Linked DNA regions of Diceros bicornis minor. The protein of the gene in region 1 interacts with the protein of each later gene in a biochemical or structural test. Links are inferred from orthologs where the notes say so. Each region holds a gene or a part of one and is shown on either strand. Other genes may lie near its edges.

What was found.
Region 2: the proteins of WBP11 (region 1) and PQBP1 form a complex in vitro, tested with the Homo sapiens proteins (2 studies listed by BioGRID and IntAct, with this or other methods). The link is inferred for Diceros bicornis minor from reciprocal best matches to the Homo sapiens genes WBP11 and PQBP1.

The regions. Positions count from the first base shown.
Region 1 is NC_080756.1:46,417,409-46,424,353, forward strand, and holds the start of WBP11 (WW domain-binding protein 11), read left to right. Parts: upstream 1-3,928; 5' UTR 3,929-4,060; intron 4,061-5,771; 5' UTR 5,772-5,816; coding exon 5,817-5,880; intron 5,881-6,410; coding exon 6,411-6,442; intron 6,443-6,945. Other genes in the region: SMCO3 (single-pass membrane and coiled-coil domain-containing protein 3), read left to right, coding at 250-927. UniProt on the Homo sapiens protein: Activates pre-mRNA splicing. May inhibit PP1 phosphatase activity.
Region 2 is NC_080781.1:42,157,526-42,164,344, reverse strand, and holds the start of PQBP1 (polyglutamine-binding protein 1), read right to left. Parts: upstream 3,002-6,819; 5' UTR 2,859-3,001; intron 2,585-2,858; exon of another isoform or gene 2,558-2,584; intron 2,447-2,557; 5' UTR 2,429-2,446; coding exon 2,362-2,428; intron 537-2,361; coding exon 425-536; intron 201-424; coding exon 88-200; intron 1-87. Other genes in the region: TIMM17B (mitochondrial import inner membrane translocase subunit Tim17-B), read left to right, coding at 3,193-3,218, 4,068-4,167, 5,198-5,261, 6,068-6,196, 6,283-6,393, 6,484-6,572. UniProt on the Homo sapiens protein: Intrinsically disordered protein that acts as a scaffold, and which is involved in different processes, such as pre-mRNA splicing, transcription regulation, innate immunity and neuron development.

The DNA.
Region 1 (6,945 bases):
TGCCTTAATTAATGCATCAATAGGTTGTATTCTGTTACCCACATTTCCATACACTGACTCCAAGTTTCAGAAAAACAACTGTTTTGAAGAACCTGTTGAGTTTTCTGAGGAATTCCTTAGATAGCATATTGCTACTTTGCTATTCACAAAGTAAAAGATTTCCTGGTCAAATCTATGCAGACAGCAGATATTTTTCAAGATTTTTAGCAGAGATTTACTATTTTCTTTTTCAGAGATCCTATTTCAAATATGGCTCAGAGTGATTTCCTCTACCCAGATAACCCAAGGAGGCGGCAAGAAGTAAACCGTCTGCACCAGCAGCTCCTTGACTGCTTATCTGACAGCTTCCATGCCACCAACAAGCTGACTGGGGTTTTAAACACACACTTGGCGTGCAGCCTGGCCGCCATTGAGATGAAAAGAGATGGGACCATCAAAGAAAACTGCGATATCATCATTCAAGCCATGATGAAAATCCAAAAGGAACTGCAAAAGGTTGATGAAGCACTAAAAGATAAACTAGAGCCAACTCTCTACAGAAAACTTCAGGATATTAAGGAAAGGGAAACAGAGAAAATTGCAATAGTACAAAAGGTTATTTCAGTCATCCTGGGAGAAGCGACTTCTGCAGCCAGTGCAGTGGCTGTCAAACTTGTGGGCTCAAATGTCACAACTGGCATAATTAACAAGTTGGTCACGGTATTAGCTCAAATTGGTGCTTCTCTCCTTGGCAGTATAGGAGTTGCTGTTCTTGGCCTTGGCATAGACATGATCATCCGTGCCATCCTGGGAGCAGTGGAGAAAACGCAGCTTCAAGCGGCCATCAAAAGTTATGAGAAGCATCTGGTGGAATTCAAGTCAGCCTCAGAAAGATATCATCAAGCCATTACTGAGGTCACCAACACAGTGAAACATCAAATGAAATAAACAGCCACTTTATTTGCCACTGGAATACTTTTCTCCTTCTTTCTCAATAATAGTTTTGCTTCTTTGAGTAGGTTCATTTTCCATAAGCTTCCAACATAGGCATAAATACAGTAAACAACTTGGAAAGAGGAATTAGAGATGCTAAAACTAGATGACTCTAGAGTTTTCCAGTAACAATGAATGCCTGGATAGGTTGGTGCTAGACCCTGAGGTAAAAGATTATATTCCAGGATGTCTTCTCACTCTGTTCTACCAGATCAATATAACTGTGAATGCTACTGGAGAGCAGTAGGTGTAGGGGTTAACTTCTCCTTTTCTAACTCCCAGTCAAAATCCTTAAAATTTACATTGAATGCAGAGACTTTCATTTCTCCCACCACCTTTGGACATCATGTACGTGTAAAGGGACATACTTAGTAACTTCTGCCTGGACACAAACTCTGGGTCTTCGAATGGGATAGAAATACTACCATAATTTTGACCATCAGTTTAAGTCAAATTTTCTGTAAACTGGAAGAGACTGAAATATGGTTTGTAACAATTTACTTCAATGATGAAAGGAGGCAATGGTTCTGTAAACCACTAATTACACACTATAATCTGGACAGATTTTTAAAAGATAAAAGTTGAAACTAAAAAAATAACGGTTCTGTCTCTATAATTGCAATCAACCCTGACCAACTGTGGTGTGATGATTAAATATCCCTTAAGTGAAAGTTTGAACATTCTGGAACATTTAACAACCAAACAGGGAGGGGCGGGCCAGGTGGTGTAGTGGTTAAGTTTGCGTGCTCCGCTTTGGGAGCCTGGGGTTCACAGGTTGAGATCCTGGGCACAGACCTACATACCGCTCATCAAGCCATGCTGTGGCAGCATCCCACATGCAAAATAGAGGAAGACTGACGGAGGTTAGCTCAGTGACAGTTTTCTTTAAGCAAAAAGAGAAAGATGGGCACCGATATTAGCTCAGTGACAATCTCCCTCAACCAAAAAAATAAAAATAAACAAACAAACAAATCCCAGCTATATATGCACAAAATGCACTCAGGATGCAGGAGAGGAAGTAGTTACTCTTTTAAGAATTTGTCATTTGGGGCCGGCCCGGTGGCGCAAGCGGTTAAGTGCGCGCGCTCCGCTGCGGCGGCCCGGGGTTCGCTGGTTCGGATCCCGGGCGCGCACCGACGCACTGCTTGGTAAGCCATGCTGTGGCGGCGTCCCATATAAAGTGGAGGAGGATGGGCACAGATGTTAGCCCAGGGCCGTCTTCCTCAGCAAAAAAGGAGGAGGATTGGCGGATGTTAGCTCAGGGCTGATCTCCTCACAAAAAAAAAAAAAAAAAAAAAAAGAATTTGTCATTTAAAGGAAAGTTATAATTTATCACCTTATGAGTTTTCAGGAAGAAGATATTTCATTTTTAACACTAGCAGGAAGGAAGTTGCCCTTGCTATACAAAGCTTTAAGTGGCCTATTTCACTAATTACCTAATTTCAGAAAAATCCAGAGGCTATGGAGCCCTAATGGTTCAGTTGAATTTCTGAAGATGCAAATGTCTGTTCTCTAAATCCTTCACCAACTAATAACTCCCCCAAGACTCTTAGGTTCCACTTACAAAATTATTAATAAGATGTTGATGCAAGAATGTGTTTGTTATAACTAATTTTTGCATCCAAGTTCAAGAAATGTCTTGAAATTTAAAAACCTCAGCCTATCTCAAAAATTAAAAAGCTAGATGAAATATTTTAATTTTTCAAATGTACTCATTTTCTTTCTCTTCTGTCATTGCTTTTTTAAATTAGATGCAAAACATCACAATATAATTCACCTTCAAAATTAAATCTTATTTTCTTTTTTGTTTATCATCTGATTTATAAGCTTTAAACTACAAGACCCTGTTATTGCTCTTTCTGGAACTCAAAATGCAGTCTAAAACCAAATCAAGAATTTTCTAAGACAAGGCTTAGTTCAGGCAAAGGACCAATATCATATGTACATTTGCATATTCTGCTAAAAGTTAATATGTATCTCAACAATATTTTGGAATTTTTATATTGATAAGAATCGGTCTGTATTTAACATATTTTCCTATAAGGGATATTCAGATAAGAGCAAAAATAAACAAGCACGTCCTTTAAGAACAGAATTGTTAAATGTTTAAACTTACCTTTAAGGGGAAAAGATAGGAGTCTTAGAGACTAAGAACGGATAGAAGACAGGGAGAGAACGAAGACTCGAGCTAAGGGATAATTCTCTATGTTTAGTGACATCATAAAGGCCTTTGGGCTGGGGAAAAGACCAGAAGGGAAAAGAGCCAATGTAAATCAACTTCCCCATTGTAAATTTAAACCCTACTGCACATGTATCCCCACACTTCATCTTCAAAAGACTAATCTTCTAGATTAGCAATCTGGGACTCTTAATACGGACACTGATTTGCTCGGGCGTACAAATGTTCTGCGTGTCTATAAACAACTACATACTGCGCTTCCAGACAGACCTGACGCTAGCAAAGCGCATCAAACACAGTAGCAAGTGTTAGTTGGGGATTCGTTTTCGAACAGACGCTCCCCAAAGATCTCACTCGCTTACGTCATGAAAAAAAGAAAATTCAAAAACTAACACAATTCCAGGACACAGAAACAGGGCAAAACACCTCCCTATCTTCATTCAGCCGGTATCGGGCGGCGCAATAACTCGAACTCCCGGACATGAGGTCAGAATGCCTCCGGGCCGAGAGGCGGGGCAGTCGTCTCACCAGCCAATCATATATCAGAGCCGCTGCCTTTTTCTTATTTCTATTGACCTAGATAAGTGTCAATCAACGTGAAAGAGTCGTACTGCGTGGCGAGGGCGGGCTCTTAGCCGATAACCAACCAATTCGGTATCGTATTGGAGCGGAAGAGACTCTGGCTCTGGAGTTCCTGGTTACTCTCTATGGTTCCAGGGCGGAGAAACGCTGGGATCCTCGGCCCGTAGGGATAGGAAGTGACGTAAGGATGGCGGAGGGGCGCGAGGTTTCAAGATGGCGGTGGCTCAATGGCTGACCGGGAGGCAGAGGTGAAGGCCCTTGCGAAGTAAAAGAGGCCGAGAATCGTCCCCGCCCCGCTTCTCGCAGTCCCGGGAGCCCAGCAGAACTGTGAGTGTGCAAGATTGTTCCACTCTGCTCCTTCATCTTTCCCGCCCCTTTCCGGGGCCCGCGCGGTTGCCTGGGACACCAGGCCCCTCTGCCCCGCTTTTCCTCTCCGCGGTTGGGGTTCCTGGTCGCGAACTGTGGGATCCTCGAGCCGGGGGCGGCGCAGCGTCCAGCGGTTTAGTAGCTGACTTCAGCCTGGTCGGTTAGCCCCGCCTCCTGTCTGTGCGCGTTGACCGGTTGCCTTGGGTTTGCTGTCTCGACTTCGAGTCGCGGTCAACCGTCGCTATGGTTTCGGCAGTTGTTGCTGCTGTTGCCTCTTCTGGTGGACCTGGGCTCCGTCCCATTGGAGCCTCTATGGCTGTTTAGGGTTCCCCCACGGTTTTGTGGCCTGATTTCCCTGTTCCCTCTGCTTTTAGACAAAAAAGTGATTTGTGCAGACTGAGGCGCCAATGCCTTCTGTAAAAATTCTCTGCAGTTCGTATCTGTTGTGTGTTTCCGTTGTGGGAGAGGAGAGTCAGAACATGAGCGTAAGGGTCATTGAGAGAGGAAGGCAAAAGCGCTACAGGCCATCAAAGATAGGAGAGCTTGTATTTGTACTAATTTTGCTTGTTTCCGCCTTCCTTCTCCCCCACTCCGTTTTTCCTAGAAGGAAACCCTTGACAGGGGTATAAGTTAGTTGCCACTGGAACACCTTTGAAGCATTTAGCAGAGATCAAGGCAATTGAACACTTGCTGAAAGAGGCATTATCTAATAAATTTGCCTGCCAGTCTCCATAAAGGGAAGAAGGGAAGGTATAATTGTAAGATCTACTAAAAAATTTACCTCGTCATCTTCCCTTTCCTGTTCCTTAAAAGTGTCTACTTTTAAAAGGAAGAAAACTTGTCAATCTTTATTATTGGAAAGAATGTCAAAAGTTAAACCTCATTCATTTGGAATAACAGGAAGAAATGATATAAGTGTCTTAGGTTAATAAAAATTTTGACTCACCAGATATTTTCCCTTAAACACAATTATTCCTTTCAGTTACCTTAAAAAATACAAATCAAGAGGCAAATAGGTACTAGTTAAGAAAAATATATGTCTTAATGTTGACGTTTTTGGAAGTTCTCTCATATAGTACGTTCATTTCGAATATTGGCATTTTTATGTTTTAAGCTCCCACTGGAGAGTCAAGAATTAGATCTGAATTAAATCTAAATCTGAATTAAATAGGCTTAAATTAATGAGGTTTTTACTGCCTTAGAGGTGTTGGGAGTACATGCCAAGAAAAACCGTGCAGAGAGGCAAGGGTGAGCTGTTTGTCATTGAGTCCAGATCATTACTCCATTCCCTTTTTATTCCTCTTGCATGCTGCATATGAATAAAGGGAGGATGTAGGAAAAGGACTAGTGGCCTCTCATGGTTTTTGTCGTATTGTTGAAGCATTTTCCGATGATTTGTTTCAATTGATGAGTCAAAGTTGTCATCCATAGAAGAAAATTAAATCGATGACTTAGTGATATTCAAAGTAATCTTCAGAACCATTACTTTTATAAATAATAACAAATCTAATTTTTCATGGTCAGGAAGGTTGAGGTCATCTTTCCTGGACACTAAAGTCAAAACTAGGGAAAGAGCAAGGTCTTTATAATCAAAAGAATGTTTCTTTTCAAAGATTGGTAGGAAGAAATTTTGTAAATATAGGAAAAATAAGCTATTTCTTTGTCTTCACAGGTATTTTTTTTTTTAATGAACAAGTAAACCATACAGATTGTCAACATGGGACGGAGATCTACGTCATCCACCAAGAGTGGAAAATTTATGAACCCCACAGACCAAGCCCGTAAGTGTCCATTATTGTGGAATGATGAAGAAGAGGAGTGGTAAAAATCACACACTTTAAGGAGTCTATTTCATTATGTCTTAATTACAGGATCAGCAGTGCTAGGAGGTGTCAGTTGTATAAAGTTATCTAGTATTCTTGTGGGCACATGATTAAAACTTTAAACATACAAAAAAAGTTAGTACCCATATTTCTAATTTGATTGACTTGGCTTAAATCTTTCTTTTTGTATTTGGAATTTTGAACAAATTGTTTTTGCATGCTCTTATTTATTATTTTATGGAATCTTTTTCGTTCAGATTCATAGTTATTTTTAAGAAACTTAAGAATATCTTGAGACATTTTTAGTTGACGTAATTAGAAGGATGCTATTGGCATCTAGTGGGTAGAGGCCAGGGATGCTGCTAAATATCCTACAGTGTACACAGAGCAGCCTCCCACAATAAAAAATTATCTGTATTAAATTGTAGAAAATGTTAACATTCAAGATTTGACAGTTTTATATTCTCTCTCTCTTTCCCTCTCTAAAGGAAAAGAAGCCCGGAAGAGAGAATTAAAGAAGGTATGATTTCAGAAACATCCTATTAGATATAAGTGTAGTTTGGTACATCCTGTTATTTGGGATTGGTGGATTTCAAATAACATTTCCCATTATTTGCCAGAAAAGATACTTATGCTTCTTATAACACTATAAAATTTGCTAAGCCAAAATACTATATTTGGAAACTGAACTGAAATAATTTTGCGTATAAACTCATGATAGGTTATTATAACATTGTTTATTTGATTACCTTTACCAATGAGTTAAAAACTTTTGAAAATAATTTCTTTTTGGCATTTATTATACTGCTTTGTTAAATGCTACTGAATTAGTGAATGGAAATAAATGTAACGCTAAATAGCTTTGTTCATCCATTTTCCTGATTATGTAGCTGTTAAGTTTGTGGCAGAGAACTTCCCCAGGAAAAGAAAGGATTTACTTTTAGTATCATGCCTTAACACTTTGAGAGAACTTAGTTTTTTAGTAGTTTTCGGTTGTGGGTTCTTGTTTCATTATTTAGCATT
Region 2 (6,819 bases), on another chromosome or scaffold:
GATGCTCCTGGATTCACTATCATTTACCTGATCCCTCTCTGAGAACTACTAGAAGCCCTTGAGGCACCCTTGGATCTGCCAACTCACCTGCATTACTGCTCCTGAGCTTCTTGGCAGATTTGGTAACGACCGAGTTGGGGTCATGTGGGGAGAGCCAGGACACGAGGTCTGTGTCCACATTCCAGTAGTAAGGGAGCCCGCTGTGGGGCAGTGGGAGGGAGGGAGGGATAGAGAAGGAATGTCAGCACAGATGTTACCTCCTTGTAGCCTCAACTCTTGTCTCCCCAGTCTCCGCCTCTACCTGGCCCATGTCAGGACCCCGTGGGGAGGACCCCCAGATCTCTTAACCCGAGGTCAGGGACAGCACAGGAAGGATGAAGTCAGAAGTCAGTTCCCTCCCCCCTGGCCAGGTCCCCAGGCTCACCAGGAAGGGTCGAACACCTTGTACCAGCTTGGTGGCAGGCCCTCCAACCGGGTGGCCTCATAGTCCACAGGGTCATCGTCATAGTCCTCGGCAATGATCTCTTCCTCTGGTTCTGGCATGGCGGGGGGAGGAGGAGAGCAGTGAGGAGCAGGGGGATTCTCATCCTACAGTTAGAGCCTGGAGAGACACTAGCATTCACACAGACCACGTGTGTGTGCCAGGTCTCACCGGCCCTGGCAGATACTGCTCACATTCCAAAGCCACTTATCTGGATATCGGGATTTACCAAAAACTGTACTTAAATCTGTTCTGTTTCTGGGTTCACATAAGATATGTTACCCAAAGCTATTACCCAAAGCTATCTGGTTTCAGAGTTTAGATAGGGATTCACCAACAAATGTATCCATATTTATTCAGTTCCTGAGTTCAGGTAGTATGTGACACCACACTATCCAAATCTGTTTGGATCAAATGAGTTTGAACAGCAAGGGGTTTATCTGAAAATATGTCCAAATCTATTCAGCTCCCAAACTTGGCAAATATGGGGTTTCTGACGCCTGTATATTGAGTAGCAAGAGTTTGGATACCAAGGGATTTATCCAAACACTGCTCTGAATCTATTCAGTTCCTGACACATAGTAAGCATGCAGCAGTTGTCAGTTCATATCAGTAAAATTAAAAGGGTGTATATTGTCAGCCCAGTAGCTGACCTTCAGTAGGCCTATCACAGATTTCAGCTGCAGAAATAACTAACAATGAAATGCACAGGCATACCTCAGAGAGACTGCAGGTCTGGTTCCAGATCACCGCAAGAAAGTGAATATTGCGATAAAGTGAGTCACACGGATTTTTTGGTTTCCCACTGCTCCTAAGAGTTATGTTTACACTATACTGTAGTCTATTAAGTGTGCAATAGCATTATGTCTAAAAAACAATGTATATACCTTAATTAAAAGTACTTATTGCTAAAAAATGCTAACCATTCTTCAGCCTTCAGCGAGTCGTAATCTTTTTGCTGGTGGAGGGTCTTGTAAAAAACACAGTATCTGCGAAGCACAATAAAATGAAGTATGCCTGTATATGTCAGCAACAGCATAGTGCCTGTCACACAGTAGGCCCAAAATAGATATCAGCTATAATCATCAGTATTTTTAATAAGATATATATACTCTCAGCACAGGGCCTAGTACTCAATAGGCTTAAAATAAATATCAATGATCATTATCAGTATTATTAACCACAAGATCTATGCCTGGCACACAGTAGGCTTATAATAGATGTCACTTATCAATACGGTGAAAATAAGATGTATTTTCCAGTGCCCGGCATACTATAGCTCAAAATAGATGCCAGCTTTTACTATTATTGACAAGGTATAAATATTAGCAGCAGCAGCACAGTAGGCCTAAATGATAGATCCTATCGTTATTTTATACTGTTAACCATAATGTGTATGCCAGGCACTTAGTAGACCCAAAATACATGTCAGCTATTAATGTGAACAATAAGGTATGTATCACCAGCATAGTGCCTGACACCATGGGAGGTCTGAAATAATGTTATGAGTATGGTAAAGAACAAAGTATTAGCATCCTGCCACTGTACTTGGCGCACGCACAGGAGACTGCAAATGTCAGCTATCTTCACTATTAGATACTTTGTAACCACTTCCATAGATTGATTGATGGATTGAACCTGGCATACAGTAGGCCCAAAATAGTCATCAGCTGTCAGTATTAAGGATGAAATATCTATCTCCCCCATGCCTGGCACATGGTAGGAATGGGTGTCAGGAATCCCCATTTTTAACAGTGAAATGCCTGCCACCCCACTGCCTGGTGCACAGTAGGCCCATGCTAGTTATCAAGTGGCAGTCTCAACAACAAAGTGCCTCTCAAGCCTGGCACATGGTAGGCCCATCTGCTCTTAGCTCTCACCGGGCTCCAGATGTTTGAGGATGCCTCTCTTGGCCAAGCGGGTCTGCAGCGCAACGGGTAGCGGCATAGCGGGTAGCAGACAGACCTAGGGACAGATGGACAGACTAAAAACCAGCTCAGATGAGGACTCAAATCTGGAGCCCGTAACCAAACGCCTCCCCCGAGCATGTACTCATCTGGACCCCCACCTACCCACCTGCAACAGTAGCTGGGTGGACGGAACCTAAGCGGGAGAAGGCGGAAGAGATAGATGGCAATATCACCAAAACTCTCACCAACCCTCCCCTCCAGGCCGGGTGCTCCATGACCGGGTTCCTATCCCAGGCCCAGGCTCCACCCATAGCTGAAGGGGCCAGCACAGCTCCCCCGCGCCCCAGAAATGGGTTCACCCAACGTCCCCCAAAGACTGCCGGGTAGGAGGAACCAAAGCGCTGAGAAGGGGGAGGAGAATGCAGTACTTCCTCCCGCTCCAAAAAATGCGCCCACTCCGACGTTACCAATACAGTCACGCGGGTAGTGGAAGGCTGTCAGACCGGCCGCCTCTCTCTTGTCGCCCCTTGATCACCAGGACCCCACAACTCTCTTCTCCCAAAGCACAGAACGAGGTCCTCTCTCCCCGAGGCTTGGAGTAACTGGATGACGCTCAGGCTGCGGTGAACAGACGACGCAAGCCGGGGTGACCAATGAGAGCGCGCCCTTGGCCTGACGTATGGCCAAGCGACCCAATCGTCGCCCTGGAAGAGTTGGACAGCTCGGGCGCCTGTGTGCGTTTACAGTGGGGGCGTGGCCCGGCCGGGGTTTAGCCAGACTGCGCGGCAGGACGCCGGCGCCATGGAGGAGTACGCTCGGGAGCCTTGGTACGGCGATGGGCACAGGCATCGGGACTGTTGCTGTGGTGCCACGGCCAGCTGTGGGAGGCGGGCGGGGGAGGCACCGGCCACACAGCGCCACATCCCAGACTCGGGAGACGTTTAAAATCTGTCTCCTTTGCTCCCCTCCACTTGATTCCTCCCACTCGGGCTCCGTTAAGAGGGGCCCCAACTGTATACCTGGAAGTGAAGGACGAGCCACCCCACGTTTCCCCTGACTACGTATCTCCCAGCCCCTCTTTGTTAACGAAAAGACACGCTGGTCGAATCCATTCCAGCTGGGGGGTGGTGTGTTGAGCGGAAATCCCCAGGGTTACCACGCGTGGTTTTTCCCAGGTCGCTGTAGTTAATGGGGGCGGGGCCTGGATGAGCCTATTCTGGGCAAGGAGGGGGTGCTGGATCCTCCCCACGGTCGGCTCTCGGTTTTTCCCATTCGCGCGCGGTTAAAAAAGGGGGAAAGGGCGGGGCTTGATTGGATGGGCTCGTTGTCGGAGAAGGGGCTGTGACCCTGTACTGCTTTAATAATAATACTAGCTAGTCAACACTTCTATAGCGCTTGTTTAAACGTGCCAACTCTTTGCTTGTATCAATTCATTTAATCTTTGATAGTAGTAAAGCTGATTCCTTGGTTGACTGCGAAGGGGAGGGTAGGACTGGGCAAAGACTAATATTTTTCCCGTTTTGCACTATTTCTTGCTTAAATGAGGGGAAAAATAATCTCATTATCTGAAGTGCTACTTCCCTTTCAGGTGACTTGGTTTCTTCCAGTTAGAAAGTCCATGTGACATGGCATGGGGGAGGGCACACATTAACCCCATCTCCCCTTCCCGCTTGCAGCCCATGGCGAATTGTGGATGATTGCGGTGGAGCCTTCACTATGGGTGTCATCGGCGGCGGAGTCTTCCAGGCCATCAAGGGCTTCCGCAACGCCCCTGTCGTGAGTCCTGGCCTTCCCTGGGTGGTGCCAGGATCCTGCCCTGTCCGCTTGGGATACTGCTCTGAAAAGTGCTTGGAGCTGCCAGTCACATGCACTTATTCATTCTGGTTCCTGATCGCCTGCTATGTGCCAGGCTTGGCTCCAGGATGAGGGGTTTTGGGAGAACTGCAAACATGGCCTCTGTCCCTCACCCCGCACCCAATTGGAGCTCCTCTGTGGAAATTTTGTGCTGTCAAAATGGTCATCGCTAAATCCTAAATGTGTGTGCAAAGATTTTACCTAGAGGCAGATTCTGGGTCAGAAACCTGGATAGAGGGAAGTGACAGGAGATTAATTGGCAGAAGGAGGGCAGCCTTAAAGTTGAGAAAATGCTTTTAATTTAACATAATCAATTCTGTCTCTTTCTCTGATACCCTTCCTCCTGGGAGATCTCATCAAATGTCATGGCTTTAAATGCCATCCATTTGCCAGGGTCTCTGCAACTGATACATCTAGCCCTGTCCCTCCCCTCATCTCCTGGAACTCTCTTTCCTGGATCTTTGCCTGAGTTTCTCCCTCTCATCCTCAAGGTCTCGGCACAAATGCCCCCTCCTTAAAGAGGTCTTTCCTGACCCCTCAGCCACTACCATACCTCTTCATTCTATTTCTTCTAGGGTGCATAGTGCTGTCTGAAGCTATTGTTTATCTGTACCCTTGCCCAAGATCTGTCTCTGCCACTATGATGTGAGCTCTGAGACGGCAGGGGCCAGGTCTGCCTTATTCACTGCTGTATCCCTGTGGACAGCATGGTGCCTGGCACATAGGAGCTGAGTAATCATTGAATGAATGAATGAGAGCTTCCCAACCCAGCTCTGAGAACACCTATGGTGAGGTGCTCCCCAGTCCCCTTGTTCTTGGCCTCTTCTCCATGTCTCTACCCTTGATACCCCTAACAGGTCTCCCACCCCCTTCCCTCTGTTAAAAGCTAGAAACCTTGTCTGCCAGTCGCTTTAACCCTGCCCTGACTCCCCTCCTCCTCACTTTCTCCCAGGGAGTTCGGCACCGATTGAGAGGTAGTGTCAACGCTGTGAGGATCCGAGCCCCCCAGATTGGAGGTGAGAGGCTTGGGGAGACATAGGAGATGTGATGGCAAAGTTGGGGGTGGTTCCTCCTTTGGGTCTAGACTGCAAGTTGGGGGTCCATATTCTAGCCTCAACTCTGCCTAGGACTTCCTGGGGGAGTGATGTTTCCCAACAATTTAATATGAGTGAGTTCTGGGGTTTAAATCCAGGCCCTGGCTCTTCCTTGCTGTGTGACCTTGGGCTAGTGGCTTAACTTCACTGAACCTCATCTGGAACACGGGGATGATGATAATAACTACCTCAGTCGTTTTGTAATGTATGTAATTTACATGGTACTTACTAAGTGCCGGTTGTTCTGCTGAGCACTTTAATAATATTAACTAATTTGAAATTTCAGAAGTCAAATAGCATGCAGTGCCTAGATCAGGCCCTGGCACACAATAAGGCCTCAGTAAACATTTTAGCTATCATATTGTTAACGGGCTTTCCTAACCTCTTCCTTCTCCATGAAACCAAGATCAGAATTTCAACTCTTTGTGGTAGTTGTGAAGATCAGAGTTGCTTTGTTCAAAGCCATATAGAAGATAGACCTCTTTTGAACACTTGTAACTCGCTCTGAAGGGGAAGGGAGTGTTGATGGCGATTATAGACAGCTTGAAGAAGGAGCTCCCACAGGGACAGATGGGGACTATCCCCACCTCCTTTGCTCTCTGCCTTTGTGTCTGGGTTTTGCTCCCCATTCTTTGCCAGAGCACTCAGGCCTTGGAAGTCCCCAGACCCTGAGCCGTGGATTCTCAGGATTCCCCAGGAACACTAATTAGGCCTTGGTCCCCCTGCAGGTAGCTTCGCGGTGTGGGGGGGCCTGTTCTCCACCATCGACTGCGGCCTAGTACGGCTGCGGGGCAAGGAAGATCCCTGGAACTCCATCACCAGTGGAGCATTGACCGGGGCTGTGCTGGCTGCCCGCAGTAAGTGCCCCAGTCCCTGGCCCCAGCCCCTTCCACCCTGTTCTGCCTGCCCTCACCTCTCTCTCCCTGCCTTCTCTCTCCTCCAGGTGGCCCATTGGCCATGGTGGGCTCGGCCATGATGGGGGGCATTCTCTTGGCCCTTATCGAGGGTGTTGGCATCCTCCTCACTCGCTACACTGCCCAGCAGTTCCGCAATGGTGAGTACCTAGCGAAGCTGATCAGGGAGAGGTGGCAAATCCTCTGCCTAGCCTCCTCCACTCACCTTTACCTGGTTCTCCCCTCTCCAGCACCCCCGTTCCTGGAGGACCCCAGCCAGCTGCCCCCTAAGGAGGGTACCCCGGCCCCAGGCTACCCCAGCTATCAGCAATACCACTGAGGAAGTGACCGCCTATCACCGCCACCGTGGGAGCGCCTCCTCGGTTCCCTCCCCGATGATCTACCTCGAAGGGAGGGCTGGCTCCCAGTTTGCCCTGGGACCTTCCAGAGAGGGCCTCTACTCTGCTGCCTTGTCCCAGGGTGGGGGTGGGGCACCCCAGCTGCCCTGACGGATAGGTCCCCTTCTCTCTCAGGGCACCCCAGCCTCACACTCACATGTAACAAGCTCTCACCCCAGTCCCTCTTGT